4 linked regions of the Astyanax mexicanus genome follow. The protein of the gene in region 2 purifies or fractionates together with the protein of the main gene of each other region. This does not show direct contact. Links are inferred from orthologs where the notes say so. Each region holds a gene or a part of one and is shown on either strand. Other genes may lie near its edges.

Region 1 (7,710 bases), on a different chromosome or scaffold from region 2:
GATAAAGAAATCCGAGCTTTTGTCTGCACTTAATGGTGAGTTTGTTAATATGGGATTTAAAAGAAAGTTTTTTTTATCGAGCCAGATGCTGAGATACTTATATTCGCTAACTTGTTCAATGGTGGATCCTGTCAGAATAGGTCTGGAATTTAAAATAATATTTGAAAATCTGGAAAACAGCATGAATTCGGATTTATTTGCATTTAAAACCAACTTGAGTTCATATAGAGCAGTCTGTAGAGTGTTAAAAGAATGTTGAAGTTTTTCTAGGGCAGCATGTGCAGAATCTGCTGAGCAGTATAAGATTGAATCATCTGCATAAAGGTGTAACTTGCAGTCTAAGTTAGAGGCCGCAAGATCATTGATTAAAATATTAAATAAAACTGGACCCAGGATTTAGCCCTGGGGCACTCCATTTGTTATGGGCTGTAGGTCTGATTTATGGTTACAGAGCGACACACATTGCTTCCTGCCAGAAAGGTAATCCTGGGCCCAGAGAGTTGCATTATTGCTATAACCAATCTTATGTAAAGAACCTAATAGTAGCTCATGATCGACAGTATCAAAAGCTTTAGTGAGATCAATCAAAATGGCAGCACAGTACTTCTTCTTGTCTAGGGCCATGTATAGATCATTTAAAACCAGTGTGGTTGCAGAGATGGTACTATGTCTTTCTCTAAATCCAGATTGATAGTTATACAGGATAGAGTTTTCATAGAGAAAAGACTTGAGCTGGTTATTCACTAGGGATTCTAAAATTTTAGATAAACAAGACAGTTTTGAGATTGGTCTGTAATTATTTAGATCTGCTGCATCTCCTCCTTTATGCAGAGGAATAACATGAGCTGTTTTCCAGATACGGGGAATTCTGCAAGATAAAATAGAAAGATTAAAAATGTATGTAATGTTCTAAAATAACTGGGGTTGCGAGACGCAGAAGGTAGGGGTCCAGACCGTCCTCACCTATTGTTTTCTGAGGATTAATAGAGGAAAGGGCGTTAGCTACTATGTATGGAGAGCAGGTCTGGAGGGAGAAGATATCGATTTTCTGGGAAGCAGTAGTAGTAATGATAGGCTGATCCACGGCCAGGTCAGAGTTAGTGTTTTTAAATATCTGATCAGCTGCAGCAAAGTGTACATTAAAAGCTTTGCACAGTTCTTGCTGGTCAGAGATCAAATTACTATTGACTAGAATTTTAGTTGGGATTTGTTGGGAGTTGTTTTTGAGGGAGAAATAATCTGATTTGGCTTTTCAAAGGGTAATTGCAGAGGTGCATCTGTTTCTCAGTTGTCTAAAGTAAGCCATTTTTCACATTCCACTGTGCGTCTGGAAATTGACCAGGCTTTATTTCTTGACTGTAGCAGTGAGGAAATTTCCCCTGTAAACCAGGGGCTAGATCTGTCTCTATTTCACAGTTTTTTGTACGAAGCATGCTTATTTGCCACTGAAAGGAATGATTTCCTGAAATGTTCTAATGCAACATCCACATCTGTACTTGCAAAAGTTAAGTGAATTTTGCTCACTGAGAAGTCAGAAAGAAAAGCTTGTTCATTAAAATTTCTTGTAACCACCATCCGACAGCCTGTTTGTATCTTTGAACTGGTTCTAATGCACCCGATCGGACAATGATCACTAAAGCCAAATTCAAAAACTCCAGTGATTTTATCTGTTTTGTTAGAAAATATTAAATCAATCAAGGTAGATTTGGAGGGATCTTTTAGGTTTGGACGGGTTGACTCAGTGATCAGCTGTGAGAGGATGAGATTGCAGCAAACTTCTTATAAATGATCAAATGCATTCGAAAATTATAAGTAATTTCTAGCACGATTAAAAATAGGCAACAAGCCTGTCGTATGGTTCTGAGCTGCATTGGGTAAATCAGCTCTGGATAATAAGGAGCTTCTTCTGTAAACATTACAGTACAGTATTTTGAGCACACATTTTCAGCACTGTCTTGAAAAAAACATGGTCGACATTTTCATTATCATTAAAAGTATTTTATATTCTTAAACATTGTTAATTATACAAGAGAAGAGGAAAGTCATTGTAAATTATCTTACTGTTCTTGGTCTATTTCGGTTTATGATTGTGCAGTGCATAGCTTTATTACAGATTTTGTGTTTTTGCACTTGGGGTATAAGCTCAATATAAAATAAAAGTTTGTTTGTTTAGAAATTATTTTATATTCCTCAACCATGTTAAATTATATCAGATTAAAGGACGTGTAAAAATCTCAGCACACATAATGATCATTTAAATGGCCTGGGGAAAATATGTAACAGTATTCAGTAATGTGTACACTGTCCCTTTAAGTGCACAGGCACCTATGCTGAGAGCATAGAGAATCAGAGTGTGTGTTGTGTTGTACCAGAGAATGCTATTTATTTTATTTCTGTAAGTAACACCATTGTAGTGCTTTGGTGCTGCATAGGATCTAATATGAACTAATAAATAAGTAGGCCTAAGTAAAATACTGCCAGAGTGAGTCTAAGTGTCCTATCTGCTCCATGTGCTTTGTGTTTTACCTGCCCCAAAGCTCACTATCTGAACCGAGATTGGATCCGGAACATTACAACTGGATTCGATTCCGATTTTGGGGGCCACGATTCGATTCAAAATCGATTTTTGATTCAAAACGATTTGAATTATAAAAATTTCTGCTTCTGGCTTATGAATCTTATTGAAAAAAAAACCCTCCATAATATACACTGGTCCTGGAGCAAGTAATGTGTTACAAAAACAATAAAATGTGCAGGAATGTGAGTCCTCAGTGACATAGGAATCACTGGGATATCACAATGACGTTAATGAACAATAAATAAATAATAAATAACACTGCTTTATTACCAGGCTACTAGCGGTGGTGTGTAGGTGACGCTGCTGGGCTGATGTGATGATAGCAGTGGAGCGCTAAAGTTCAGGAGCAGCTGCTGATTAACTAGTTAATTTAAGGTGGTTGTATTTCTTCAGAAAGGGGGCAGGAGGTGGAGAAATTAATTCATATTGTCCATTCCTTAATTCCTCTGTGATGAGGAGCTGAAATTAGCTCTGATTAGCTTATTGTTATTTTTCCGTTCCGCCTTAAATGCTGCAGCCCGCAGCCACCTGTAGCGTTATTTAAGGTGGAACTGGAAAGTTAGCTTGTTAGCTAGCTAACAGTTACTGAAACTAACTACTAGCGATCTTTTTTATGCTTGTTATGAAGCATTCTGCCATAAAACATTAAAACTACACGTTAATCTAAGGTAATATAGTGCTTGTTCTGCCATCTTACCGGTGATTCTCAAACACCTACTACGCTCTGTGTGGGTCTGGAAGACCTCGGTTTGAAGGGACAAGCGGGTTGCCAGGTCCAACAAAAATACCCAGCCCAAAATCAGTCCAAAACCCGCCCCTCAGAATCGATTTTGGGACATTTTAAATCGATTCTGAATCGTAGTAAATGAGAATCAAGATTCTTATGTGAATCGATTTTTTGGCACACCTCTATTTTTTTTGTGTACATCATTATTTTCCCGCACTGCCTTAACTCTCTTGGGCATGGAGTTCACTAGAGCTTCACAGGTTTCAGAGCTGGAGCTTGCCCGGTCCAGCACCTTTACCTTCAGTTTCTTTAGCAAAGCTGTGGTCGTCTGGGATGTTGTTTGGGGTTGTTATCATGTTGCAAACTCTCATGCAGCTCAGTCTCCGAAGGGAGGGGGTCATGCTCTGCTTCAAAAGGTCAGAATACATGCTGGCCCCAGCCCATGCTAGACGCCATCTGAGCCAAACAAGTTTGGCAACAATTTCCAGTACTTTGTGCTCTTGAACTGCTTGTCTTCAGCAAAATGTTTTTAAACTTTCTTGTGCATCAGCTTCAGAAGAGGCTCCCTACAACAGTGATGCAGAATGAGTTGATGCAGTGTCCGGCGTACAGTCTGAGTACTGCAGGCTGACCTGCCATTTCTTCAGCCTCTGCAGCAATGCTGACAGTGTGCATACATATATTTTAAAGTCAATGTCCGGCTGAACGCATAACAATTTCTCCATTTTCACGTAGGGTGTACAATTTTCTATTGTTGGGTAGAACTTTGTTTTAGTTGTGGTACACAGCATACAACTGTGGTGTTAAAACCAGTTTCATTCTAAGAAAAAAAGCATGTGATTGGTACAATGGGTTATACAGTTTAGTTTGAAATGTTTTGTAAGTACTTCCTGAAGGAATACGGTATGGAGACCTCACTGTATCTGCCCACTGTAGATAAAAAATATTTTTTAGTTTTATTATTAACCTTTTGAATCTAACCAAGATATGGAACATTCCATCCCTGCTGGTTATCATTTGAATAATAAAACTTTCAGCAGGTTAAGAAAACTTCGGTTAAAGGACATAACTGTGTGTTGTGCGATCTGATTGAATCATGTATGTAAAAAGGCATTGGTGTAGAAGCATGTGCAAGACGCCCCACTTCCTCCCAGGAAGCACAACAACGACACAGAAAGCAGGAAATGGTAGCTCACACCGTAACCTGTGGACTACTTCTTACCTAATAACGGAGACAAGCTGTATGTTGCTGTATATATTATTTGATATATTTTTCAGAAAGTGAGGCACGAGTTGTTTGGATTTTGTAGTGTTTAGATAGCAGTTAGAATCAGTGGGTACAGACTCTCTCTGTGGTTGTGTCCTTTTGTTGCTGTAACGTCAGTCTTCTTGTGGATTATGAGTCTTCAAAGTAGCACTATATGGGGTGAGCGGCTGGAGGCGAGCAGAACACCATCTCACCACCTGACTGGCAAGGAAAGTGGCCAGCGCTGGCATGTCCTTAGCAGACCCTGGCTTAAGCGCCGCTCCAATTCAGCTCCTGCCGAGCCCCTGGACTCAAATCAGAGATTGGACCAGGCCCGACGAGCCGCACTTAGCCAGACCCTCTCCAGCAGAAGCGGCTGCACCCTCCCAGCTAACCTCGAAGGCTCAAGGGTACACAGCCTCCCTGATCCCAGCAGAATCACAAGGTCTGGTGTGCTTCTGGAATGTGTTCAAGCAGAGGGGTCTCGCTTGTCACGGACCAAAGTACCCTATTTGCGCTCTGCCTCGGAACCTGGGACCAAGGCTAGCATAGAAATCCTCCAGAGACCGCAGACACAGGCTGGCGTCCCGTTTTCTGGGATCCTCTTGTCCATGTCACAACGCATCAGCCGGATTCTGGCAGCCAGAGATAGGCCCAGTACTCCAGAGATGGGAGAAGACGGTAGGCTGTCATTAGAGTTTAGTAGCAGGGCACAGAGCGTGCATTGCAAATTAGTTGTTTAAGATTTAGCTTGTTCAACTGGGTATGTATATTGGATTGCACTACAAAACTAACTGTGATGGGTTATAAAATCTGATCATTTCATATGATAATATCATAGACCTGTCAAGTCTGAGTAAATATGAAAAAACAAATGAACATAAAATGACAAATATTAACAAGAGAGGCAGATGTTTTATGATTATTTAATGTAGAATTTATTGTACAAAAGCTTTTTGTTTTCAGTTTTTGATGAGTAGCGTGGACTTTTCTTTTCTCTATATGTATATGAGTTATTTTTGGTGGATTTGCCAACAAGGCAATATCTCCTAAAGAACAGTTTAAGCTGATTAAACCTAAATACAGCTTAAGCTTTTCTCACCATCGTGTTGTCAGTGGTTTAAGAGTTTAGGCGTTAAACCACCCCACTGATCAGTTTCACTTCTCTACGCCTTTGCAATAAACAAGCTCTTTCTTTTCCTGCTGTCAGAGTTTTCCCTCAGCAGATTGGATTTTCTTTTTTTATCCCACAATATTTGGACATGACCTATTTTTTTGCCCACCTTAATGTTTCCCATAGTATTTACTTAACAAGGAGGGCCCATTCAGGTTTGTTTAAAAACAGTGTTTTTTAAATTTTTTACTTATTTATCTAGGATAACACAACTCAACAATGTAATGTCTAATAGTGCTGATTGGAGTTGGGCGGTATAATGGTAGTACTGTATATAGCCGTAACATTCAGACCACCTGCCCAATATTGAGTAGGTCCCCTTGTGCCATCACAACAGATCTGACCATTTAAGGTATGGACGCCACAAGACCTCTAAAGGTGTTCTGTGGTATCTAAGGGTGGTTGACATGATGTGGCCTTTTTTTGGTCCAGTGTGTCAAATACATGTAAATTATAGAAGAATATGTCAAAAACTGAATATATTGTTTGAAAGTGCTGTTTTATATGAACTTACAGAGCACTCATGGAATTAACATTTATTACAATTTTCAATCAAACCAGAAAAAGCTCATATGGCGTGACTGTCCCAATCACATTTTACAAATTTTGATTTTAAATAAATACAAGCAAATTACTTAATTTTCTATTTAATCAATCATATATTAATAACCCAGGTGTCTATTATGAGTCTGCTTGGCTAAAAGTTCGGGCATAATATTTTGAAGCCACGATCAACTTAAACATTTTGTCCCAAAAATGAATGATATATGGTGTGACGTCATACTTCTTTTTTTAAACGGGCAATTATTTGGAGTCCTTTGGGGAGTGGGGATCCTCCTTCTTTCAGGAGGAAGAACAACACCTCAGAAGGACACTGAACGTTACAGGGTGAATTATCACTCTTTATTCTTTCAGAAAATTAAGTATATCCAGCACTTCTGCTTCAGTTCCATTTTGCACTGTCATATCGTGTGACACATGGCTAGCATGGTATGTTATGATGCTAGCATAAAGCCACATTGCTTACAGTCATGGTAAATACATAAAACATCATATGGTGTGATTTTTTTGTAATACTATATGATATCAACTGCATTTAAATACATAACTAATGCAATTAGATACGTTTTAGCTAATAGTTATGTGTTTTAAAATTTAATTCGTTTAACACATTTTTATAGTATATTGTTTACAAATGTAATATTTGTACAGCAACACTCACTCATTCATGCAGATTCACTCACTCACTGAGACTCAGTTACTCCTGAACACAAAAGGAAAAGTTCAGTCTGACCCAGTTGCAGTTTACGGTAGCACACCTGAACATCCCGTTTCAGCACAAAACCGGGAAAGGCATATATTATAAATACATGCTTCTTCTGTTTGTTTCTTTAAGTAGAAACCAAATGTGTCACAATGTTTATTGGCACACTGTTTAACAATACATTCACAGCTTTCTGATCCATCATTGTTCTGCTCATTCTCGTTTTAAAAAGAAATAATGCATTAAATATAAAAAAGTTCAATGACTTACTAAAGATTATTAGAATTCCTGTAGGTAACATTCGACAGATTAAAATTAAAAAGTGCTACATCTAATGAATTCAGTAAGTGGATTAGTTAATGTCTCATAAACATTCTTCTCTACGTTGAGTAAAATTCACATCAACAGTTTTGTGATTCTGCTGTAACTGAAAACGATTTCAGTCACTAGCTAAACCAAGTTTTTTGTTTGCTAAATGCAGCTAATACAGATTTTTGCATACAGATTGTGGTGTGGTGTGATTAATCATATGACGCATGACACCATGACATATGGTGTGATATTCAGAATAAAAAAAGGAACTTACAGAGCACTTATTTGGCATGATTTTGGCCAGCATGCCTCTGCCGAAACTTACTGATGATCTGGTGAGCATTGTGAGATCAGGTGAGATCCTCACTTGAGTGAAAGTGTTCCACATCTGCCTCACCCATGTTGAGTG
Region 2 (7,312 bases):
GAAGAGGAGATGAAGCTTGCTTTGGCTTTGAGTGCTGAGGAAGCAAAGAAACCAAACGAATTTGATCGAGGTGGGTCAGGCTTTCTGTACATGTTTTAGAATTACCCAAGTTTTGTTTTTCTAATTATTTTTAATGTTTTATATTTATTTTTTATTTTGCTAGCTTTACATGCGTGAAAAGTGCCACCAATATGGTATGTTAATTCAGTTTGGTAACTCAGTGAGTTGTTGTGGGAAAATGGTGTAACGAGGGGTGATGAGCACTGTGAGGTGTAGCATGCACAGACACTGTACAGTGTTGAGGAGAACTGAGCTGCTCAGTTAATTTAACACATTTGAACCACTACTTAAAACTGGGCCTGGGCTCCTATTGGTTAAAGGAGAGTTTCAAGAGTAAAATCAAATGTACATCATTACAGGCAGTTTCATCACATTGACTCAAATCAGCAGTTAGGAGGCAATTGTTTAGTCACTGTTTCACTGATCAAGAAATCAGACCTTTTTAATAATCTTTCTCTGCACAGTGTGATTTCATAGGGGTGAATGTGTTTTTATCAGGGCTAGGTAAATGTTGTAGTGTCTTGAAAACCTGCACAGGTTCTTACTACACATATTTGTAAATGTAAGTCATTAGTAATTCCAGTGTAATCACCTTTCAGGTAATGATAATTCTGAATAAATAAATGAGTAAATTAGCTAGCTAACTTATTTTCTGTGTTTTACAGAGATGGAAGAAGCTCTGAAAAGAAGCCTGCAGGACTTTTGATTGCTAAAACCTGCAAAATAGTTCAAACAGTGTTTGACCTGTATGTTTGTTTTTTATGTTGTTAATGTTCTCTGAAGTTTAAATAAAGAACTAACTGACTAAACTGGTTATTTGTCGTCTTCTGATTTTTATTATTATTATTTTAACTGAAATTGATGAGATGAGTGAGTTTAGTTCAGCTGTTAGTTCACCCTAATAGACCACTGCAGCTGTGTGATCATTTTGTAGTTGGCGTCATGTTTATTGCCATATTTGTGGTTCCATGTCTTAAGCTGCATTTGTCAATAACAAAAATAAATGGGCTTTTCAAAAACTCATCTCTATAAATAAATCTGTTCAGAACCCTGTACGTTTTGTTCTGTGTACATTCTGCTCCTAAACCCCGCTGAATCCTCTGAATTATGAGATCAATTAAGAGTCCTAATAACAACAATGCTAGATTTTAACGTGGCTTAATGTACTAAAACAAGGAAAAACTTCTCTCAATCATTCACTACATAAAAAACAATCAGAATATTTATAAGATAAACAAACCACTATAACCCACATTACTGAGCCTGGCTGGGAGTAAACTGGCTGGTTGATTGGCTCTTGAACAACACAGCAAATGTATTTTGTATTTTGCGTTTGCTGGTGTAGCCGGTGTGTTAGTATATCCAGGGAAGTTGACCAGTATGATTACTGCATCTCTAATTAAACATGCTAATAGCACAGTAACTACACTGGTGCTAGAACCTGGTTCTGAAATAAATACTGTGCTGCTTGTTTTAGTGATTTCCTGCTGTAACACTCTCATTCCCTGGTGTTGTGCCAAAGTCCCCTCTTGTTCTGTGTTGCTGTGACATAAGTTCAGTTCAGAGGATTGACTGATGTTCAGGAGCAGAATGTACACAGAATAAAATTTACAGAGTTCTGAACATATTAATTTACCACAGAATGTGACAGAGGAGAGTTTTGGAAAAGCCCATTTTTGGGCCATATAGAAATTTATCTTAGACCAAGAACCCCAAATGTAATCTTTAATAATAATGTCAGATAATAAACTCTGTTGGTAAAGGGTGGTACTAATTTCTGAGGATAAAACTGTGGTGATAATTTCAGATATTAATCTTTGATGATGAACTCTGATAAACCAACCAACTCCTTCAACCAACCAAAACGGGCACATGTCACTCCGCTGCTCATTGAGCTCCACTGGCTACCAGTTGATGCTCGCATCAAATTCAAAGCTCTTACAATCGCCTACAAGGTGATGACAGTACAGGCTCCTTCCTACCCGCACTCACTCCTGAAGGCTTACGCTACCTCCCGGCCGCTGCGCTCCTCCAATGAACGTCGCCTCGCTTTGCCAAACATTCACACAAAGCAATCCAGACTGTTCTCATACAGAGTTCCCCAATGGTGGAACAAACTACCTTCTACTACCAGATCAGGAGAATCTCTTGCTATCTTTAAGAAACTCCTGAAGACAGAGCTCTTCAAAGAGCACTTACTCTCTTAACACCTCTAACACACTAACTACTTCTAACCTCATCTCCTTCTTCCTCTTCTCTACTCCTCTATCCCATTATTTCCCTCTGACCTCCTTAAGGCCCTATCTATAGATGCTTTATTTTTAACTTCTATTATTTTTGTACTTAACCTCTTCTATTATTTGCAACTCAATATTGTAAGTCACTTTGGACAAAAGCGTCTGCCAAATGTTATGTAATGTAATGTAATGTAATGTAATAATCTGAGGTCATGATCTTTGTTAATAATCTGTGGTGATAATCATACATCCATAGGGTAAAATTCATTAATTTTATCTAAGCATAATTTCTTAACAGAATTATACAAATTATGCACCTGATTGTATCGGTATTAATACAAAAATACACAAAACAATTACACATTACAGTTTTATATGTATTTTGTTAATATTCTATTTCTATGTTAATTATGATCATTGTTATATTATAATAGTTATTATTTGTGGAGAGTGCATTTCTCCTGAAAGTTTTGTGAGTGTTAAATAGAGGCAGAGTTTAATAAAGGCAATGTTAAATAAAGTCAGAGTTAAATAGAGGCAGTGTTTAATAAAGGCAGATTCAAAATTAAATAAAGGCAGCGTTAAATAGAGGCAGAGTTAAGCAAAGTCAGTGTTAAATAAAGTCAGCATTAAGTAGAGGCAGTTTAATAAAGGCATGGTTAAAGGCAGAGTTAAATAAAGGCAGCATTAAAAAGAGGCAGAGTTAAAGAAAGGCAGCATTAAAAAGCATTATTAAAATATTAGTTAAATAGAGGCAGTGTTAAATAAAAGGCAGAGTTAAAGGCCATTTTAAATAGAGGCAATGTTAAATAATGCAGAGTTCAATAGAGACAGGGTTAAATAGAGGCAGAGTTAAATAAAGTCAGTGTTGAATAAAGGCAGTGTTAAATCAAAACAGATTTAAATTGAGGCAGTTTTAAATAAAAGCAGAGTTAAATAAAGGCAGCATAAAATAGAGGCAGAGTTAAATAGGGGCAATGTTAAATAAAGGCAGTGTTAAATAAAAGCAAATTTAAACAGAGGCAGTTTAACATAAAGGCAGAGTTAAACAGAAGCAATGTTAAATAAAGGCATAGTTAAAATAAAGGCGCGGATAAAAGCAGATTTAAATAGAGGCAGTTTTAAATAGAGACAGGGTTTAGTAGAGGCGGCGTTAAATAAAAGCAGCTTTAAATAAAGGCAGAGTTCAATAGAGGCAGTTTTTAATAAAGGCAGTCTTAAATAAAGGCAAAGTTCAATAGAGGCCATTGTAAAAAGAGGCAGTGTTAAATAAAGGCAGTAGTAAATAGAGGCAGAGTTGAACAAAGGTAGTGGTAAATAGAGGCAATGTTAGTGTTAACATTGCAAGGCAGTAATAAAATGACGCTGGGTTAAATAGAGGCAGTGTTAAAATCAGTGGCAGAGTTAAATAAAGGCAAAGTTTTAAATAGACAGTTTTAAATAGAGGCAGAGTTAAATAAAGTGAGTGGCAGAGGTAAATAGAGGCAATGTTTAAATAAAGGCAATTTCAAATAAAGGCAGATTTAAATTGAGGCAATTTTAAATAGAGGCAGAGTTAAATAGAGGCAGATTTAAGTTTGAATAAATAAATACATTAAGAGATGGAGCTAAAGCGGCTAATAATTCAGTTTATTCTGCTCTGATCCTCCCCCGCCGCTCAGCGCCCTTCCGTTTCCCCCCGAGGGCGGGAATACCCCGGGAGATCCAGCCCATGTTTGGAGATGTTAGGAGATGTTTGTCCGTCAGAGAAACCGCTAGAAGGAGCCGGAGAGAGGAGACCCCTCAGACCCGCCCGTGTAGAGCCGAGTCTCCGCACTGAGACCCCCTCAGACCCGCCCGTGTAGAGCCGAGTCTCCGCACTGAGAGCCGCGGCCATGGCTCAGGCCAAGATCAGCGCAAAGATCAACGAAGCCGCGAGAAGCGGGAAGTTCAGCCGCACTGTCTCCATGGCGGACCGCTCTCTGCGCCTCCTGGAGAGTCTGGACGATCTGGAAACGAGGTGGGTTTACTTTCGCACCGTAATACTAATAATTCCCATAATACTCTAATAATCTTAATACTCTTACTCTCTCAATACTCCTCTAATACCCATAATACTAAAAAAAAACTCACGTCTCAATACTCCTCTAATACCCATAATACTTTAATACTCTCACACTTTTAATACTCTAATAATCCTAATAGTCTCACACCTTAATACTCATCTAATACCCCTAATAATTTAATACTCACACCTTAATACTACTCTAATACTCTCACACTCTTAATACCTATATAATACTCCTCTAATACCCATAATACTTTAATACTCTCACACCTTAATACTCATCTAATACTCATACTACTAATACTCTTACACTCTCAATACTCCTCTAATACACCTCTAATACTCACAATACCCTAATACTCTTACACTCTTAATACTCCTTTAATACCCATAATACTGTAATACTCATAATAGTCTTACACCCTTAATATTTATAATGCCCATACTACTCTAATACTCCATACTCTCACACTCTTACTACTCTCCTAATACTCGTCTAATACCCATAATACTTTAACACACTTTGAATACTCGTCTAATACCCATAATACTTTAATACTCACACCTTAGTACTCCTCTATTACCCATAATACCTAATATTTTCACACTCTTAATACTCATAATACCCATACCTGTCAAGTTTTAGATTTAAAAATAAGGGATATTTTCCTCTGTCCGCTTAAAGCCGTCCCACCAGCCCAACGAAGGTTCAGTATCTCTTACATTTTAAAACAGGTTTACAAAAAATCTAAAATAACCACATGTGAACCACTTACACACTACAATTAGATTATCAGAATCTGAACATGTTGTGGACATGTTGTGGATATGTCATTCTTTTAATACAGCCAAATTAAAAACCCTTTTCTATATATTTTTTTTATTTAAGATTTCATGTCTTTTTTGTAATAAATGCACTCTTTTATATGATATATTTTTTATTTATTTAATGGATTTAAAATTGAACAAAGAGTGCACAAATTCTGCAAAATGACTGTTGGTGACCTAAAAATGGTATTATGAGCTTTTACTAAAAGGACATGGACCAGATATATTCCATCAGTAAAAATTAGTCCTAAGGGGCCTACACAATAATTTTTAATTAATACTTCTTCCTTTTGATCACTCCACCCCTGATCAGTTCAGTTAATGTCGGTCCTCTCCACATTTCTAGTTAAACTGAGTCACAAGCTGTAATTTTTTTTTATTTTAAAAGGTTTAATCTCTGTGTTTTATTTCGGAGTATTTTTAAGCAGCTATCAGAAAAATCTCATCACAGTTTCCATGATTAGACTACCGTTACCTTTCTTTTAGAAAAATCGCTGCATGTATGTTTTAACATCAGCAGCTCCAACTAGCTGCCTGAACTCACAGCGAGGAGGGCGGGGCTTCCCCACACTGACCCTCCTTGGAAGCTGATTGGCTGTTTCTCCTGAAAGGCGGGACTTTCTCCTTGAACCGGCTCCACGATTGGTTAAGAGACACAGAGCGGTCAGTGCCCTGTATCCTCAATAATATATATTTTTTTATTTTAATAAAATACGGGAAATTTACGGGAAAATACTAATACGGGAGGACGGCGGGAAAGAGGAGTAAAATACGGTAGTTTCCCGGCCAAAACGGGAGACTTGACAGGTATGATAATACCTATACTACTCTAATACCCTCCCACTCTTAATACTCCTCTATTAATCTTACTACTCTAACACTCTTACACTTTTAATACTCTTAATGCTCCTTTAAATATACTCATATTACTCCAATACTCCCATTCCCTTAATACTCCTCTAAAAGCCATAATACTTAAAAAATCTCACACCGCTGATGATAACAGTAGTAGAAGTGTGTGTGTGTGTGTATGTGTGTGTGTGTAAACTCTGTGTAGTAAAGTTTATAACCGGGTCAGATGAACTAAAGCAGTGGAGTTGTGTGGAGTTGTTGACTCTGGCAGAAATGCAGCTGCTGCTCAGTGAGGCTATAAATACGAGCTGCACCAGCAGATCCGTCTTCTTGCTTTAGGATGGATTTTTATTTCTAATAATCATTTTATGAAAATGTTTTTGGTTCTCTTGTTCTCAGTAGAAAAGAATACACTGATTAACCAAATGAAACATTATATGTGTAAATGTAAATATGTAATACATACACAAATAGAGCAAAAGTTTACTGGGGAAAACTCTTTATCTGAAAAGAGGCACTAGTACAGAGGTCACTAACAGGCAACTCAAATGTTGTCCAATGCGGACCCAAACCTTTTAAAATGATTTCATTGTATACGTGCTTTGCGGCGCAGTAAACTCACAGACCAATCATGTGTGGTGTAAGATCACCAAATGCTCTCCTTTGCGGTAAGGAAATAAAGAAATAAATAAACACACTGCTCCTCACGCGGGATCGAACCCGTGTTGTCAGGGTCGCGCAATAGCTCCAGCTATTGAATTGGGACGCGACCGTGAAAAAACGCCTTTATAAGAAGAGGGAGCCCAAGAATGAGCGTAAAAACGAGAACAGGCGGAAACTAATGTGTCACGCCGAACGCAACAGAGAAAGACAGGCAGGTAATATACACAAAATCTGCATTTTTTTATTATTATTATTATAGATATTTTTAATTATAGTTCAAGCAACCTTACAGGATATAGCACTGAATCATAACACAAGTTAAAAATCGGTCCGGACCGGAATTTTCTCTAACTGGACCATACTGAATTCTAATTAAATACCCCTGCTCTAGTACATGTTGGAGCCTCTAGCTTGGATTCAAGATGAGATAAAATGATCGAGCACGGACTCATGCAGGTTCTGTATGGCATTAGGGATGTTCGAAAATATTAATATTATTAATAACATCTGTATTAAAAGATAGTATCACAATATGTTTTGCAATAATGTATCAATTTTCAAAAACAGTATAGAATTGTAATTATTATATTACATGTAAAAATAAGTGATAAATGGTCAGACAGTG
Region 3 (7,894 bases), on a different chromosome or scaffold from region 2:
TGGACATGTACACTGAAATACAATGTGACTTTGGGTATATCAAATCACAAAATAAATTCTGAAAGGAGAAAACATTAGCTAAGCTGAAAGTCAAAATCAACAGAACAAGAAATCATGAGAGTTCCTTTCTGAATAATCTATTTTTAAACCCCGGTTAATTATTTACATACAACGGCATATGTACAAACCCCCAACCCCCTTACGTTGTTTGGCTAGCTAAAAAAAAAGAAAGTTTAGCAAAAGTAAAAAAGCAAACAAAACATGATGAAAAGGGGAAATGTGTCCTTTTTGAGAGCAGTGGGGAACATTCCTATTCAACCTATTTACACAATAGTTTGAACATTCTTACTTGTGTGATCTTTAGGCACCCTTTTTTAAATGATCAAATTCATTTGTTAAACCTGTTTTCAGTCTGTGAAATGTTTTAATATACTAATGATTGGGAGGCGATTTTTGAGAGTTTGTGTGCTGTTCTACTTTAATATAGTCATTAAATTGTTCAATATAGTAAAGAATTCATTTCAGAAGGTTACAGTGCATGTTTGTTAAAATAACTTAGATGGTCTTATTACTGCAACACTCAATTAACTTAAAATTAAATATAAATGAGGAGAGATAGATAAAGCGAGAGAGAGAGAAATAAAGAGAGACCTTGCCCTCTCTAGTTCATTCTCAGTCTACAGGCCCTTTCTCCCAGTCAACCCAAAACCTTCCATTGTCTCTGAGAGGAAATCGTTCAGCTGTTAAATTTTAAACCATGAGCTTTTCCAAACACCAAATCCACAGTGACCATATGTTTACATCCCCCGACAGATACCTCCCCCATCCATGCTGTAAACACAAGGAGCTTTTGCCTTTATCTTTAGCTTCCAGCTGCAGAGTAAGAATCTTGATGTACAAAGATTCACGGATTGTAACACAAACCGTATTTATATGTAACCACCCTCAACATACATTTAATTTGATTCAACTACCCACTTTTACAAACCCCTCAACTGACACAAACAAGATTATGTCAGAAAGACTTTGTTGGCATTCTTGTTTATAAAAATTAATTGGGGCTCATTGGTTAGAGTGCTGGTTCACTGATAACAAAGTTGAGGATTTCATACCCAGGTCTAGCCCACTACCACTGTTAAGCACTTGAACCCCCTGTTCCATTAGCACCGGGACATAGCCTGCACTCTGACCCGGGTTTGGCGGCTGTTAAACCATTACTGCTTGAGCAAAGGCTGCCACCTCTGTGGGCATGCGTTTTCACAAAATCACTGTGTGTGTGTGTGTGTGTGTGTGTGTGTGTGTGTGTGTATGTGTGTGTTTGTATGTGTGTGTTTGTATGTGTGTGTCTGTGTCTTCTGAGTGTACTTACTGATGTGTGTATTTACTGCACGGATGCCCAACACAAGTATATGTTTGTCTTGCCAAAAAGTTATTCCAGAAGGTTGAAGTGTCTAGCTTCATTACAGCTTTTGAACAATAAATGCTCTACATTGTATGAGCTTGTAGGCACAATAAAACTAATAAATAATAAAACTCATAACTAACTAACTAACTAACTAATAAATAATTCAGAAAATAATTAATATTAAATGTTTATTTTTGGACTATCAATCCATTCTATCAAGTTGCATGTGGGAACTTCATCAGCAACTACAGGGAGGGCATTTGTTTGCTGTATTGTATAGTTTTATGATGAGACTAACGTTTCTAAACAATTAATCTGGAGGCACTGTATCTAGCTATATAGACTCAGTAAACCAGGAAAAATAGTTATTTGTTGTTTATTATACTTTAGTATTAGTATGAGCACTTTATACAATCCATGGTAGGTATCTAAAAGTAAGGATCTCTACATTTTCTGAATTGTTTTATGTTTTCTGGGGAGATCTACCAACCTTCCATTTTATTAATCTTCTTATCTTCTTTTTCCAAGTCAGGGTTGTGGTGGTCCAGAGCATACCGATGATCATTTGGTACAAAGTAGGAATACCTGCTGAACAGGGTGTCAGTTCATCACACTCCAGTCCCTTGCAACCTTTCTGGAAAATACATACACAAAACATTTAGTACAGCCTATACATACCCACCATAAATACACACGAGCACCTGCAACCAAAGCAAATTTGTACAGACATAAACTTGGTTCTTATGGTGTAACAAAACACATGCCATCTTATTAACTGTATGGTAGCCTATGTACAAGGTACAGGCTAGCATACAACAGAAAACACCACACAGACCCAACTCAATATCTTAGCCAAAAAAATCCGACTCATAAAGGGCAGGCTAAGCCCCAAGGAGATCTGGCCCCCCCCCTTCTGTCAGTGTTGAACTCTGCCCTCAATCTTCAAAGTCACAGCCCCTTTCATGTGGACTACTCCACCTTCCACCTATACCCACCCAGGATGGCAAGGTCTGCACATAACAAACACCAAGCCCTCATCGCTTGTAGCCATAATTTGCCCAAATCTCTGTCTCGACTGCAAAATGACCACTTAGATGGAGTGTTTCCACAGCCTATAAAAGTACACCGCATTTTGGTAACGCTCGAGAACTCCTTACAGTTTCAAGTATTTCTGCAAAAATGTGTTCGGAACATGATTATTTATCACAAAAACACAACTAAATACAAATGATTTATTGAGCAAAATGACGTACCATACTCCTTTTAAGTCCATTCACAGCATTTTTATATTTTAGAACTGATCATGCTTTAACCAATTCTTTGTAGACTAATTTGTGTGCTTCAGGTCATTGCATTGCTGCATGACCCACTTATAGATAGGCCACTCCACTGAATGTGTGCTATTTGCTTGTTGTAACTCTTCCAAATTAAACTTATTTATCTTTATTATATCTTTTATATAACTTCTCAAAAGTTTTGCAAAACTAAGATATGTAATTAAAAACAATAAAAACCACTTAACACTGAAAAAATAGTATTTGTTACCTGTTGCCATTCTTTAACTATAAACTACCATGAAATATAATTATTAAAATACTTTTGCATAGTTGTGTGACTCTGAACCCCATCTATCCTTTAAAAATAGTTTTCATAATAAATCCATAATATTAAAGTTACATATTTTATTTGTGTTTCTGGGTTTCACTTATTCCTACAACAGGATTTCACAGCTACAACAGGAAGTTACATCATCTGGTTCTTCTGAAGATCATGGGAAGACCAAAATTAAGTTCCCATATTTGTTTTTCTGTATATTTAATCTTATTGTAACTATGACTGAAGAAGTCAATCTCAACATTCATTCATGTTACTTGAATTAATTTTTAGATCTTTTTGTTTATTTTTTAAAATATAAATTATAGGAAAATCACTAGAATATGCTCAGTGTGCTCATGCTATTATCATAGCCACCATTTAGTTATTTTTCATATATTTTTTTAATTCTATGCTAAAAACTCATTCCTGTTACTTTCAGTCCTGTTACTCAAAATATAAAAAGTAATAGGAATAAGTGCCAGTAACAGGAGTGAGTTCCAGTAACAGGAGTGAGTATTGTCCCCTGGTTAATTTAATTTCTGTTTCGTTTATCATTTATCCATTTGTTTAATAAATTGCATGATAATAAATTTGATCAATTTCAGTACATTTACATGTTTTGAATAGTTAAATATATGTGTTGTTAAATTAAGAGTTGAAATAAAAGATTAAAAAATATGTTTAATTTGGAAGAATTACAACAAGCAAATGGCACCCATTCGGTGAAATGGCTTATTGTCATTATTAATATATGCTGGAGAGATGCCTGTAGGTCCTTAAGGAGATATCTGCACATTTTTAAAGCTCACATTTAATTACTTTTAAGACATTTTTAATACCTCTCACAAGAAAAAATAATACTATTACTGTAGCAAAAATGACAAATTAGGTGATAGTATACAAAAAGTTTTACTGAAGTGAAATAAAAAAAAAAAATCAGTCCACCTTAGGGAACATTACTGACCTTCTGTTAGCAAAAATTATTCCAAATAAGTATCGAATAAACATAAAAGTGTGCTGTTAAGGGAACTCGACAAAACAGCCTTTTAATTACTCACTACTTTCCCAAAAGCACTGGCAGAATAAGTGGAATATTCCCTATAGATCACTATTTGCATTTTATATAATAAACAAACAAAAACATGATTAAAATTGTTAGACATTTTAACTGGCTTAAACGGCACATCAATTAATAAACAATTCACATGCCTATGTACACTATAATTAGTTAATTGATTAAATAAAAAGAAGTAGTCATGAATAAGAAGTACAAAACAGCCTGTGATTATATCTTTGTGTTTTGCAGTTAATCGTGTTTTTATTTCATGGTTATTTAGACATGCAATTAATTCAATCATTCCTTACTTTTCCTCCATATAGTTGAATGCCTCCCCTCCTAAACGTTCGTGCATTTAAAGACATTTTTAGACCTTGAATATGTAAAACTAAGTTTAAGTCATTTTAAGACTTAGGAGTCCATTGTGACTTTGCAGAGTAAATATGGATAACTTCTAAAGTCCAGTTTAACAGTATTAAGCCTCTAAACAAACCCAAGCCAACAGAATAATATATAATGTATTTTCTTTCAGCTATTCACCAGTGTGAGGCCTGTGTTCTGCAGCTCCACCAGTCAGAAAAGGCCAAAAACTCATACGTATACACACAGCCCCCCTAACGTGATGCAAACACGTGCAAAAACACACAGGGTTTACGTAAAGTCTGTATTGGACCAATGAGGAGCTCGGGCTGAGAGTAGGAAGCCGTGAGGCTGCGTCGTTTTTTCACTGCTGTTGCTGTTTTTGTCCGTGGAGGAGAGAGAGAGCAAGAGCGAGAAGAAAAGAGAAGGACAGAAAGAGCGGACAGATATCTCACCAAACCCGACTTCTTTAAGAAGAATAACAATGAAAAACAACTCCAACGTCCCCGCGTTCCTCACCAAGCTGTGGACCCTGGTGGAAGACTCCGACACCAATGAGTTCATCTGCTGGAGTCAGGTATAGACCCCTCTATGTCTGCTCGGATCCATTATAACCTAGCACAGCTAGCTATAGCTAATCTAATGTAGCCGTTAGCCAGCCTAATGCTACACACACACTAACTAACTAACGCTAACTAGCTTAGCTGTGTATCAGCTTGTTTAGCTAGCTTACAGAGCCCGGTAGCTATGGTAACTGTGCTAGCAATATCTATACGGGTTTTAAACGTTTGCCTTATTAGCATAACGGTAAACGTGGCGTTTAAATGGTTTAGGTCAGTTTAGGTCACTCCTGCTACTGCTGTAGGTTTACTACTTAACTAGTTAGCTAACGCTAGGTTAGCTAGAGCTCTGTGAATTAATCCTTTAGCTAGTTGCTCTTTACATGCAGCTAGTAAGCTAACCTAGTTAGCTATTTGTCTATGGGACGAATTGCATTTTCTTGTGAGTCTCTATGGATATAGGTTAACCATACCTGTCAAGTTTTAGATTTAAAATAAGGGATATTTTCCTCTGTCCTCTTAAAGCCGTCCCACCAGCCCAACGAAGGTTCAGTATCCCTTACATTTTAAGACACGTTTACAAAAAATCTAAAATAACCACATGTGAACCACTTACACACTACAATTAGATTATCAGAATCTGAAATGTTGTGGACATTCCTACATATGTCATTCTTTTAATACAGCCAAATTAAAAATCCTTTTCTAGATATAAAAAAGTTAAGATTTCATGTCTTTTTTTGCCATAAATGCACTCTTTTATATTATATATTTTTTATTTATTTAATAGATTTAAAATTGAACAAAGGGTGCACAAATTCTGCAAAATGACTGTATGTGACCTAAAAATAGTATTATGAGCCTTTACTAAGTGTAGTTGTCCTAAGTGGCCTACACAATTAATAATTTTTAATTAATACTTCTTTCTTTTGATTACTCAACCCCTGATCAGTTCAGTTAATTTCGGTCCTCTCCACATTTCTAGTTAAACTGAGTCACAAGCTGTTAACTTTTTATTTTAAAAGGTTTAACCTGTGTGTTTTATTTCGGAGACGAGTATTTTTAAGCAGCTATCAGAGAAATTTCATCACAGTTTACATGATTAGCTTACCCTTACCTTTCTTTAAAAAAAATCGCTGAATATCCAGATCTGTTTTAACATCAGCTGCTCCGACTAGCTTGAACTCACAGCGACTAGGGGCTTCACCACACTGACTCTCCTTTGCAAGCTGATTGGCTGTTTCTCCTGAAAGGCGGGACTTTCTCCTTGAACCGGCTCCACGATTGGTTAAGAGACAGCGCGGTCAGTGCCCTGTCTCCTCAATAATATATATATTTTTAATCTTAATATAATACGGGAAATTTACGGGAAAATACTAATACGGGAGGACGGAGGGAAAGAGGATTAAAATACGGTAGTTTCCCGGCGGGAGACTTGACAGGTATGATGTTAACAAACTTTGATTAATACATTTAGTTTTTGACTTTTGATAACAAGCTGATCATTTGAAACAGGTGTTTTAGATCAAGGAAGCACACAAAGCCACCACCACCTTTTCACATTTATATATTAGTACCTGTTTCTAAATTAGCCACATCTTGCCATTATCCTTTATGTTCCCATCACCTTTTCACATTCATAAATTAGTACCTGTTTCTAGGGCTGCAACGATTAGTCGATAAAATCAACAATTTTGAGTACTAAAATTTGTCGACTACAAAAACTGTCTCCAAAAGTGCCCAAACACAACAGATTACGCATTTCCCCATTATATATCCGTACTTTCCGTGTTTAAACAACATCTAGACATTTAAATGCCGTTTAAATCTCATGCTCAGCTGTTTCTAATGTTAATGTCAATGCTACAATGCTACAGTGAATGTGTGCTGCAATCAAAGCTAAAAGTGGTCCAATCAAATATTGGAGTGTGTGACCTTTTTTTTTTGGCCAGGCGGCAGTGTAGCTTAGCTTTAGCATTTTTTTATGACCCAGTTACATGCCTAGCTAGCTACATAACTAGGAATTCAACAGTAGAAGATTTGTTACTACAACTGTAGGTTATAAGCTAGTTTAACCGACATAGATAGCTATGATACATTACAAGCATTACAACCTAGCTATTATAACTACTTTAGTAAAGTTTTCCATTAGTTAAATCTCTTTTGAATTGCTGGCTATACAGTCAGTGCATTTAAACAGTCAGAAAAGTGGTGTTTTGTGTTTGTAACTGTTTTAACAGGTGTTTCCTTGTGTTATTAATTTTGTTATAGTGCCAGTGCTTTATTATATATACAGTGAGTCCAAGAAGTATTTGATCCCTTGCTGATTTTCTTCGTTGGCCCACTAATAAAGACATGATCATTCTATACGTTTAATGGTAGATGTATTCTTACATGGAGAGACAGAATATTAAAAAGAAAATCCAGAAAATAAATCTAAGGAATATATATTAATTGATTTTTATTTCATGGAGTGAAATAAGTATTTGATCCCTTAGTATTCATTAGCAGTTCTGGCTTTTACAGACCAGTTAGACACTCCCAATCAACTTGTTACCTGACCTGAAGCCACCTGTTCTCACTAATCACTTGTGTGAAAAATACCTGTCCACAGAATCAGACAGATCACACAGATTTCAAGTCTCCAACATGGGTAAAACCAAAGAACTGTCACAGGACCTCAGAGTCAGAATTGTTGACCTTCACAAAGCTGGAATGGGCTACACAAAGATTAGTAAGGTGTTGGATGTGAAAGTAACAACTATTGGTGCAATTATCAGAAAGTTTAAAGAGTATAACATGACAATCAACAGACCTCGGCCCGGTGCTCCAAAGAAGATTTCGCCTCGTGGGGTGGCAATGATGCTGAGAACGGTCAGAAATCGTCCTGCAACCACTCGGCAGGAGTTAGCAAAT
Region 4 (7,605 bases), on a different chromosome or scaffold from region 2:
AAGTGTCCTGTAGGAGATTTTAAAGCCCTCAAATATTCAGAATGTAAATAAGTTATTTTACTGCAGAGAATAAGGGTTTTGTATCACCTACACCTGTAGCCTGTATACGGGACAAGGCATGTTAATAGGTTAAAACACATGATTATTTGATCATTTAGAAGTGTAGATAAAATTATTAATATTCTGTTCCAAGATTTTCCATCTTGTGGTCAAATATAAATGTTCTACTTTTAATAACTCCCAAGTGCTAGATTAAAACTGTGTGAGGCTATGTCCAGCTTTGACAGGATGTTACTGCAGCCATAACATTGCATATATTTGATTAATTTCAGGTCAGGACTTGACTTCATCATAAAAAGAGCGACTTTTATTTGTATTGTTCTTCCTGAGCAAAATCAAACCACAGTTTAGCTGTACGTTGGTTCATTGACTGTACGTGATCATTTAATCACATTAGGCCTCAGTAGGATTTCTCACCTCATTAGGTGTTTTGTAGTTGATACAAATCCCTCCGTTTAGAAAAGTCCTTATTAGAATTTGTTTATTGTATTTATGACGTATTGTATGTGGTAGAAGAGAGAGATGTGAGGAAATCATTTAATGCTGTCATTAAAATGTTTTAGGTAGAAATGGAACCAATTTCCTACAGCTATTAGTATTGGAAGTGATAGCAGCAGAAAATGCTGGACTGGATTTCAAAAGGATAAAAGGAATGAATCTGGTCTAATTTAAGAAATCTAGCTTGAAATAGGAGGCATTCACATGGTATGATGTCATACTGCTTTTTACTCCTTTCTGCGAATTAATTGAGAATTAAGAATTGAGAATGGCAGCATGATACTTATAGGTGTTACAGCTATTTTAACTATTTTAACTCCCCTCAAACTTTCAATGTTTATATAGAACATATATAGCTCTTGAAAAAATTAAGAGACCACTTCAATTTCTGAATCCGTTTATCTGATTTTTCTATTTATAGATATATGTAAAATAAACATTGTTTTATTTAAACTACAAACAACCTTTCTCCCAAATGTCAAATAGAAATATTGTCATTAATAGCATTTATTTGCAGCAAATTAGATATGGCTGAAATGACAATAAACATGCAGAGCTTTCAGACTTCAAATAATGCAAAGAAAACAAGTTTATATTCATAAAGTTTTAAGAGTTCTGGAATCAATATTTGGTGAAATAACCCTAGTTTTTAATCACAGTTTACATGCATCTTGGCATGTTCTTCTCCACCAGTTATACACACTGCTTTTGGAGAACTTTATACCATATATATATATATTTTAAGCAGTACAGCTTTGAAACTGGAATGTTGCCCCTTATTTAACTCCCGTCCTTCTAATTCTGCACTGAATGCATTTTTCCACTAGAGGTCAGTCTCTGAGTGTTTAGGCTTGTGTGTGGATGAGGCAGAAAGTTAACAGAAGTGGCCTGAAATGAAAGCAGTTGTACAATTACTTAAACAGAAACTGTTGTGTTGTAATTCCTCCACCGTAAAATGAAACCTAACACCCCCCACAGCTGACATGGGTGGGCAGAAAACTACCACTCTAAATCACTGTAAAGTGAACACAATTTACAGCTGTAAATAAAAGCATGGATACAATTGTAACAGACAGATAAAGAAGGGCACTAATATAAACTAACACTATTGTAAACTGCTGTTGGTCAATAAATCTACAGTGCTGAATTTAGTTCTGATTACAGTCGAGGCCTGGCTGGGCCTTCCCTTTTTCTGTTCCCTTGAGGTTTCTTTTACTACGCAATGACGACCATAGCTGTTTTTCAATTGCTGAACATGCAGCCTTGAGGAAACGTGCTGTCAATTATTCTAAATGTGCTTTCAGTGCTGAGTATGTGAGGAAATGCACACCAGTGCTTTGCTTATCTGTGCACATTTTTAAGCATTTCACAGCATTTTCATCATTGAAAGAAATTCAGAGTATTAAGATACCTGTACCAAATTAGCCGTGGCAAATTTGAAAAGGTATGTAAATATTATTAATATTTCATATGTGAACATGCATGATTAACTCTTCACCCTGTACAGTCAATTCATATACTAATTAATCCAATGACAGGAGGTAAAGCAGGTAGAGTGCATTTCACATTGATTCAGAGGCCTGGATTCTGAGGCAGAGGCTTCTGATTATTGTCTGTGAGGAGTTTGGTGTTTCCCTCTGCTTAAGTAGCTGAATTGGTTATGTTAAACTGTCCCTAGCCATGACTGTGTGACTGAATGGGTGTGTGGTAGGCCCATTGACCCACTGCAACTCTGACCAAAAAGAAGCTGATGATGAAAATAGGATGGATGGATGGATAGATATCGACCTTGAAGTAGTTGAGGTCTGAAATGAAAGTGAATTTGATTTTTCCCACACTTATCAAATCCTGCAACTCTACATCTTTACATATAACAGTTTCCCTTTTTTGAACTCGTCTACATTCAGTGGGCTGGAGCTTCCTCTTTCTGAGAAGTGTTTGTAAATCAGACATTTAATTCATTGAAACAGCCTAAAATAATTGATTCGGCAAACTAAAACAATTTTAATTAGTACAAAAAAACATGAATAAGTTGAGAATGAACAAGTACAAGATCATGAAGGAAATAACAAAACGTTGTAGGACAAGAGAACATACAGAGCTGTTTAGCACACGACTTCTTGCGAGAACCAAAGACTACCAATTCCACACCTGGCATGACATAGAAACTAGCAAGAGAAACCTTAGTAACCACATGGGCACCATTTAACAACACCTTTGCAACTACCTCAGATATGATAGCAACTGCCTAACTACAACTTAACACTACCTTAGCAACCACCTAGGTTACCTGAGCAACCACTATGCATAACATAGATTCCAGCTTACAAACCTTAACAATAGCAACTGCCAAAAAACCATTTGGCAACCACCTCAGACATGATAGGAACCACCTAACCACCACATAACACCACCTTAGCAGCCACCTGGTTAAACTACCTTGCAACACATTAGCAACCATCATGCATATCATAAAAACCAGCTGGCAAGACCTTAGCAACCACATGGGATATGATGGCAACTGCCTAGAAACCAGGCAGTTGCATAGCAACCACCTAGCCACAACTTAATGCCATCTTAGCAACCACCTGGTTTAACTGAGCAACTACCTTGCAACTCATTAGCAACTGTCATGCATATCATAGAAACCAGCTAGCAGGAACTTGGCAACCACATGGGATATTGCGGCAATTGCCTAGACACCAGGCAGTTGTTTAGCAACCACCTAGCCACAACTTAACAACACCTTAGCAACCACCTCAGATATGAAAGCACCTGCCCAGCCACTACATAACGCCAGCTTAGCAACCACCTGGGTTAACTGAGCAACTACCTTGAAACACTTTCACAACCACCATGCATAACAAAGAAACCAACTAGCAAGACCTTAACCATAGCAACTGCCTAGCAACACCTTGGCAACCACCTCAGGTATGATTGCAACCACCTAACCACCACTTTACAGCATCTTGGCAACCACCTGGGTTCCCCAAGTTACTACTATGCAACACGTTATCAACCATCATGCATAAAACCAGAAACCAGCTAGCAAGACTAAGCAACCACACGATATATGATGCCAAATGCCTATAAACCTGGGAGTTGCTTAGCAACTATCTAGCCTCCACTTAAAGCCACCTTAGCAACCACCTGGGTTAACTGAGCAACTACCTTGCAACACTTTCACAACCACCATGCATAACAAAGAAACCAACTAGCAAGACCTTATCCATACCAACTGCCTAGCAACACCTGGGCAACCCCTTCAGATATGATTGCAACCAGCTAACCACCACTTTACAGCATCTTAACAACCACCTGTGTTCACCAAGTTACTACTATGCAACACGTTATCAACCATCATGCATAAAACCAGAACCAGCTAGCAAGACCTAAGCAACCACATGAAATGATGCCAAATGCCTTTAAACCTGGGAGTTGCTTAGCAACCACCTAGCCTCCACTTAAAGCCAACTTAGCAACTACTTTGCAACTCATTAGCAACCACCATGCTTGACAAAGAAACCACCTAGCAAGACCTTAAACCATAGCAACTGCCTAGCAACCTCTTGGCAACCACCTTAGTTATGATAGCAACCACCTACCAGTAATCACTACTTAACAACACCTTAGCAACCACCTGGGATACTATAAGTTAACAGTTGGCTATACAGTCTAGAGAAGAGATCGCGCCTTCCTACAGTTTAAGCTCAAAGAATCGGCTCAATGATTCATTCGTTTGCCACACTCTGACCAGCTGACAGCCTCATGACAGGCGGCAGGTCCGCGCATGCGCAGACGCACACTCTGTGCGAAGAGCGAACATGGCGGCGTCCTGACTGTTTTTTTCCGTACTGAGGGAAGCGCAGTCGGGAAGGCTCGGCACCACAAGTTCGGTAGAAAGGACGGAATCGAGTCGCAGCTGATCCGGGCGGTTCAGGTAAAGCGCTGCTGTGTGTGAGTGAGGGTGTGAGGGAGTGAGTGTGTGCGTGTTGCCCTGTCCGCCACTGCTGCTGCTGCTGCCCCTCCGCCTGTGATCCATTGATGCGGTGCAGCCTGACTGCTAACGCTAGCACAGGCTAGCCTGCTCCTTAAGCTGTGCAACAGTGTCCTCCTGTCCCAGTGCAGAATGGGGAGGTGGCAGGGGGAGAAATATCAGTGGGGAAACTGGGGACAGATGACTGTAACTAGCTATCAGCCTGTTGGAATTCACAGCTGCAGTTTACTAGTTAGCCTGGCTAACCTAACCTAGCTCCCTCTAACTTATCTCCAGTGTAGAGCCCACTGTGATGTAGCTGGAGAAATTCAATGTCTTGACCAACCCAACACTGCATCCCCTCAACCCATAGCTACAGCCAAACATACTAGCTTAGCTTACTACCGCATGACCCAATATAACAATAACACCAGCCACTGTAATAACACAGCATAAGATGGGCATTCAGTGTTCACCTAGCTTCTTGACTAACTATATAAGCTAGCTAGCTAGCTATCTGAATAGCCAACTGGACAAGGTTTTTGGTCAATATTTAAGTGCATTAGCTAGCTAGCTGTTTGTCTGTCTACCTACATAACTAGCTAGTTAACCTGTTAGCTAGCTAACTTAGCTACGCTTACTAACTGCTTAATAGAGTTGAGATGATAGAGTTAGAAAACGTTGTTAGCTCATGGAGTCCGTTAGGTAACTGAGCTAATAGTTTATCTAGCTAGTTTGATAGACAGACAGACAGACAGACAGCTAGCTGAGGCACATGACTATTGACCAAAAAACCTGTCAAGTTGGCTGGTCAGACAGTTAGTTGGCTAGCTAGCTAGCTTATATAGTTAGCTAACTGATAGGTTTAAGAAACGTAAACTAACTAGCTAATAGAAGTAGCTTAACGTAATTGTATTAGTTAGACAGACAGCTTAACTTACTAATGCACTTGACTATTGACCACACAACCTGTCCAATTGGCTTTACAGCTCTAGAAAAAAAGAGCCCACTTAAAAATTATGAGTTTCTATGTTTTTACCAAATTGAAAACCTGTGGAATATAATGAAGATGAAGATGGATGATCACAATCCATCAAACCAAGATGAACTGCTTGGGAGTGGCATAAAGTTATCCAAAAGCAGTGTGTAAGACTGGTGGAGGAGAGCATGCCAAGATGCATAAAAACTGTGATTAAAAACCAGGGGTATAACATCAAATATTGATTACTGAACTTTTAAAACTGTATGAATATGAACTTGAATTATTTGCATCATTTGGGGTCTGAAAGCTTTGCATTGTTTTGTTATTTTAGCCATTTTTCTATTTCTGCTAATAAATGCTCTAAATTACAATATTTTTAGTTGGAATTTGGGAGAAATGTTGTTCATTTTACTCAAACATGTACATATAAATAGCAAAATCAAAGAGACGCTGAAGTGGTCTCTTATTTTTTCCCCACATCCCTACATATAGTTAACTTAACTAGCTAGCTTAGATAAACGTTATATAGTTAACGTTAACTAGTTAAACTAATAGAGATAGGAAACGTAGCTTAGTAAGATAGACAGCTAGCTTGCTAATGCACTTGACTATTGACCAAAAACCTTTCCAGTTGGCTAGTCAGATGGTCAGCTAGCTAGCTTATATAATTAGCTAGTTAACTAGGTAATACTGTTAAGAAACGTAGACAGACAGACAGCTTGCTAATGCACTTGACTATTGTCCAGTTGGCTAGTTAGCTTAGCTAACTTAGCTGACTAACTGACTAGTTATACATTATGTTGTGATGGTCTGCTTGTCTTCATATGAGTTAGCGTTAGCCAGCTTGCTAACGCTAGCTTTCTTCTTTTTAAATGTTTCAAAGCTTTAAAGTTTAGCACACTAATGTTGTTTTATTAGGGATTTATTAGGACCATATGCTGTTACAATTGATAAGCTGGAGAGCTAAAGGAGAGTATCTAGTTTTGTGTAGTTTGAAATGTTGAACATTAGATAGCTAATGTTAGTGAAATAAACGTATGAGGAACAAAACAGTCCCAACATTAACCTAAATGTTTAGACTTTTTCTTGTATTTTTGGCCATCTGAAGAGGTTTGTCTGTTAGTGTAGAGTTGCCCTATATCTGTTGCTGTTTGCTGTGGAGCCACCAGCTCATGAGTTCCAGTAGTCATGTGACTGCCATCTTCAGGCCTGTCAAACTGAATGTCTTTTGAAAGGCCTGTTCACAGGGGACTGGCCGAACAAGAAACATGTTTATGAACAAAAGAATAAAGGCTGATGTCATGGAAAAAAAACATATTTTCCTTATTTGAATTAAAAGGGTTTGGTGTGTTACATGAAGTTATGTAGACACATACAACTTTAAAACTCTTCCTTTAAAACTACTCAAAGTCTATGTACACAGATCTATCATAAAATTAAGGTTTGGTATTCTGTAGCTTGTGTAGTCAAGGCATAAACATATGCTGAGTTCAGTTTTGAATCATATTTTAAGGTACTATAGTCCAACCGATGAACTCCCTAATGCAGAAATAGCCAACTTTACATTTGTCTGCAGTAGTTTTTTGTGGTGTTGGAGTCTATCCTTCTCTCCCTACCTACAGCAATGAGTGTCACTCCTCTTACTGCTTGAGTACTTTTTTTGGGGGGTTCTCACCCGTGCATACTGGAATCGCAACACAAGACCTGATTTGTTGGAGATGCTCTAAACCAGTCATCTATCTATTTGTGAACTGACTGTTCACATGTCTGTCTGTTATATCCCACTAATTGATAGGACTCCATGTTCAGAGATCATTGTAATGTTTCAATGTTTACTTCATACGTTTGCTGTTTTAATATTATGGCTGTTTGGTGAACATAGAAATTAGAACCAAGTTGTTTTTACATGTATCAGTTTTAAAGACAAACAATTTGCATTACCATATTGGAAAATACTTTAAGACAAACATTAGAAGTAACCTGAATGAAGGAAAAACAAAGTGTGGACTATAGGCCCTTTAAAATGAGTCATTGACTGGTTGTAGTCAATCATGATGTGTTTGGAGCATGAATCATCTTTAATTCTGCA

Evidence for each region.
Region 1: the proteins of bag2 (region 2) and rasal2 purify together in Homo sapiens (affinity purification with mass spectrometry; 3 studies listed by BioGRID and IntAct, with this or other methods). This does not show direct contact. The link is inferred for Astyanax mexicanus from reciprocal best matches to the Homo sapiens genes BAG2 and RASAL2.
Region 3: the proteins of bag2 (region 2) and hsf2 purify together in Homo sapiens (affinity purification with mass spectrometry; 4 studies listed by BioGRID and IntAct, with this or other methods). This does not show direct contact. The link is inferred for Astyanax mexicanus from reciprocal best matches to the Homo sapiens genes BAG2 and HSF2.
Region 4: the proteins of bag2 (region 2) and dnaJ homolog subfamily C member 13 purify together in Homo sapiens (affinity purification with mass spectrometry; 3 studies listed by BioGRID and IntAct, with this or other methods). This does not show direct contact. The link is inferred for Astyanax mexicanus from reciprocal best matches to the Homo sapiens genes BAG2 and DNAJC13.

The regions. Positions count from the first base shown.
Region 1 is NC_064415.1:45,565,586-45,573,295, forward strand, and holds the start of rasal2 (ras GTPase-activating protein nGAP), read left to right. Parts: upstream 1-4,481; 5' UTR 4,482-4,703; coding exon 4,704-5,232; intron 5,233-7,710. UniProt on the Homo sapiens protein: Inhibitory regulator of the Ras-cyclic AMP pathway.
Region 2 is NC_064414.1:16,372,554-16,379,865, forward strand, and holds the start of bag2 (BAG family molecular chaperone regulator 2), read left to right. Parts: upstream 1-3,978; 5' UTR 3,979-4,171; coding exon 4,172-4,296; intron 4,297-7,312. Other genes in the region: E3 SUMO-protein ligase ZNF451, read left to right, coding at 1-70, 726-766. UniProt on the Homo sapiens protein: Co-chaperone for HSP70 and HSC70 chaperone proteins. Acts as a nucleotide-exchange factor (NEF) promoting the release of ADP from the HSP70 and HSC70 proteins thereby triggering client/substrate protein release.
Region 3 is NC_064408.1:82,018,575-82,026,468, forward strand, and holds the start of hsf2 (heat shock factor protein 2), read left to right. Parts: upstream 1-4,751; 5' UTR 4,752-4,902; coding exon 4,903-4,995; intron 4,996-7,894. UniProt on the Homo sapiens protein: DNA-binding protein that specifically binds heat shock promoter elements (HSE) and activates transcription. In higher eukaryotes, HSF is unable to bind to the HSE unless the cells are heat shocked.
Region 4 is NC_064408.1:105,172,333-105,179,937, forward strand, and holds the start of dnaJ homolog subfamily C member 13, read left to right. Parts: upstream 1-4,349; 5' UTR 4,350-4,498; intron 4,499-7,605.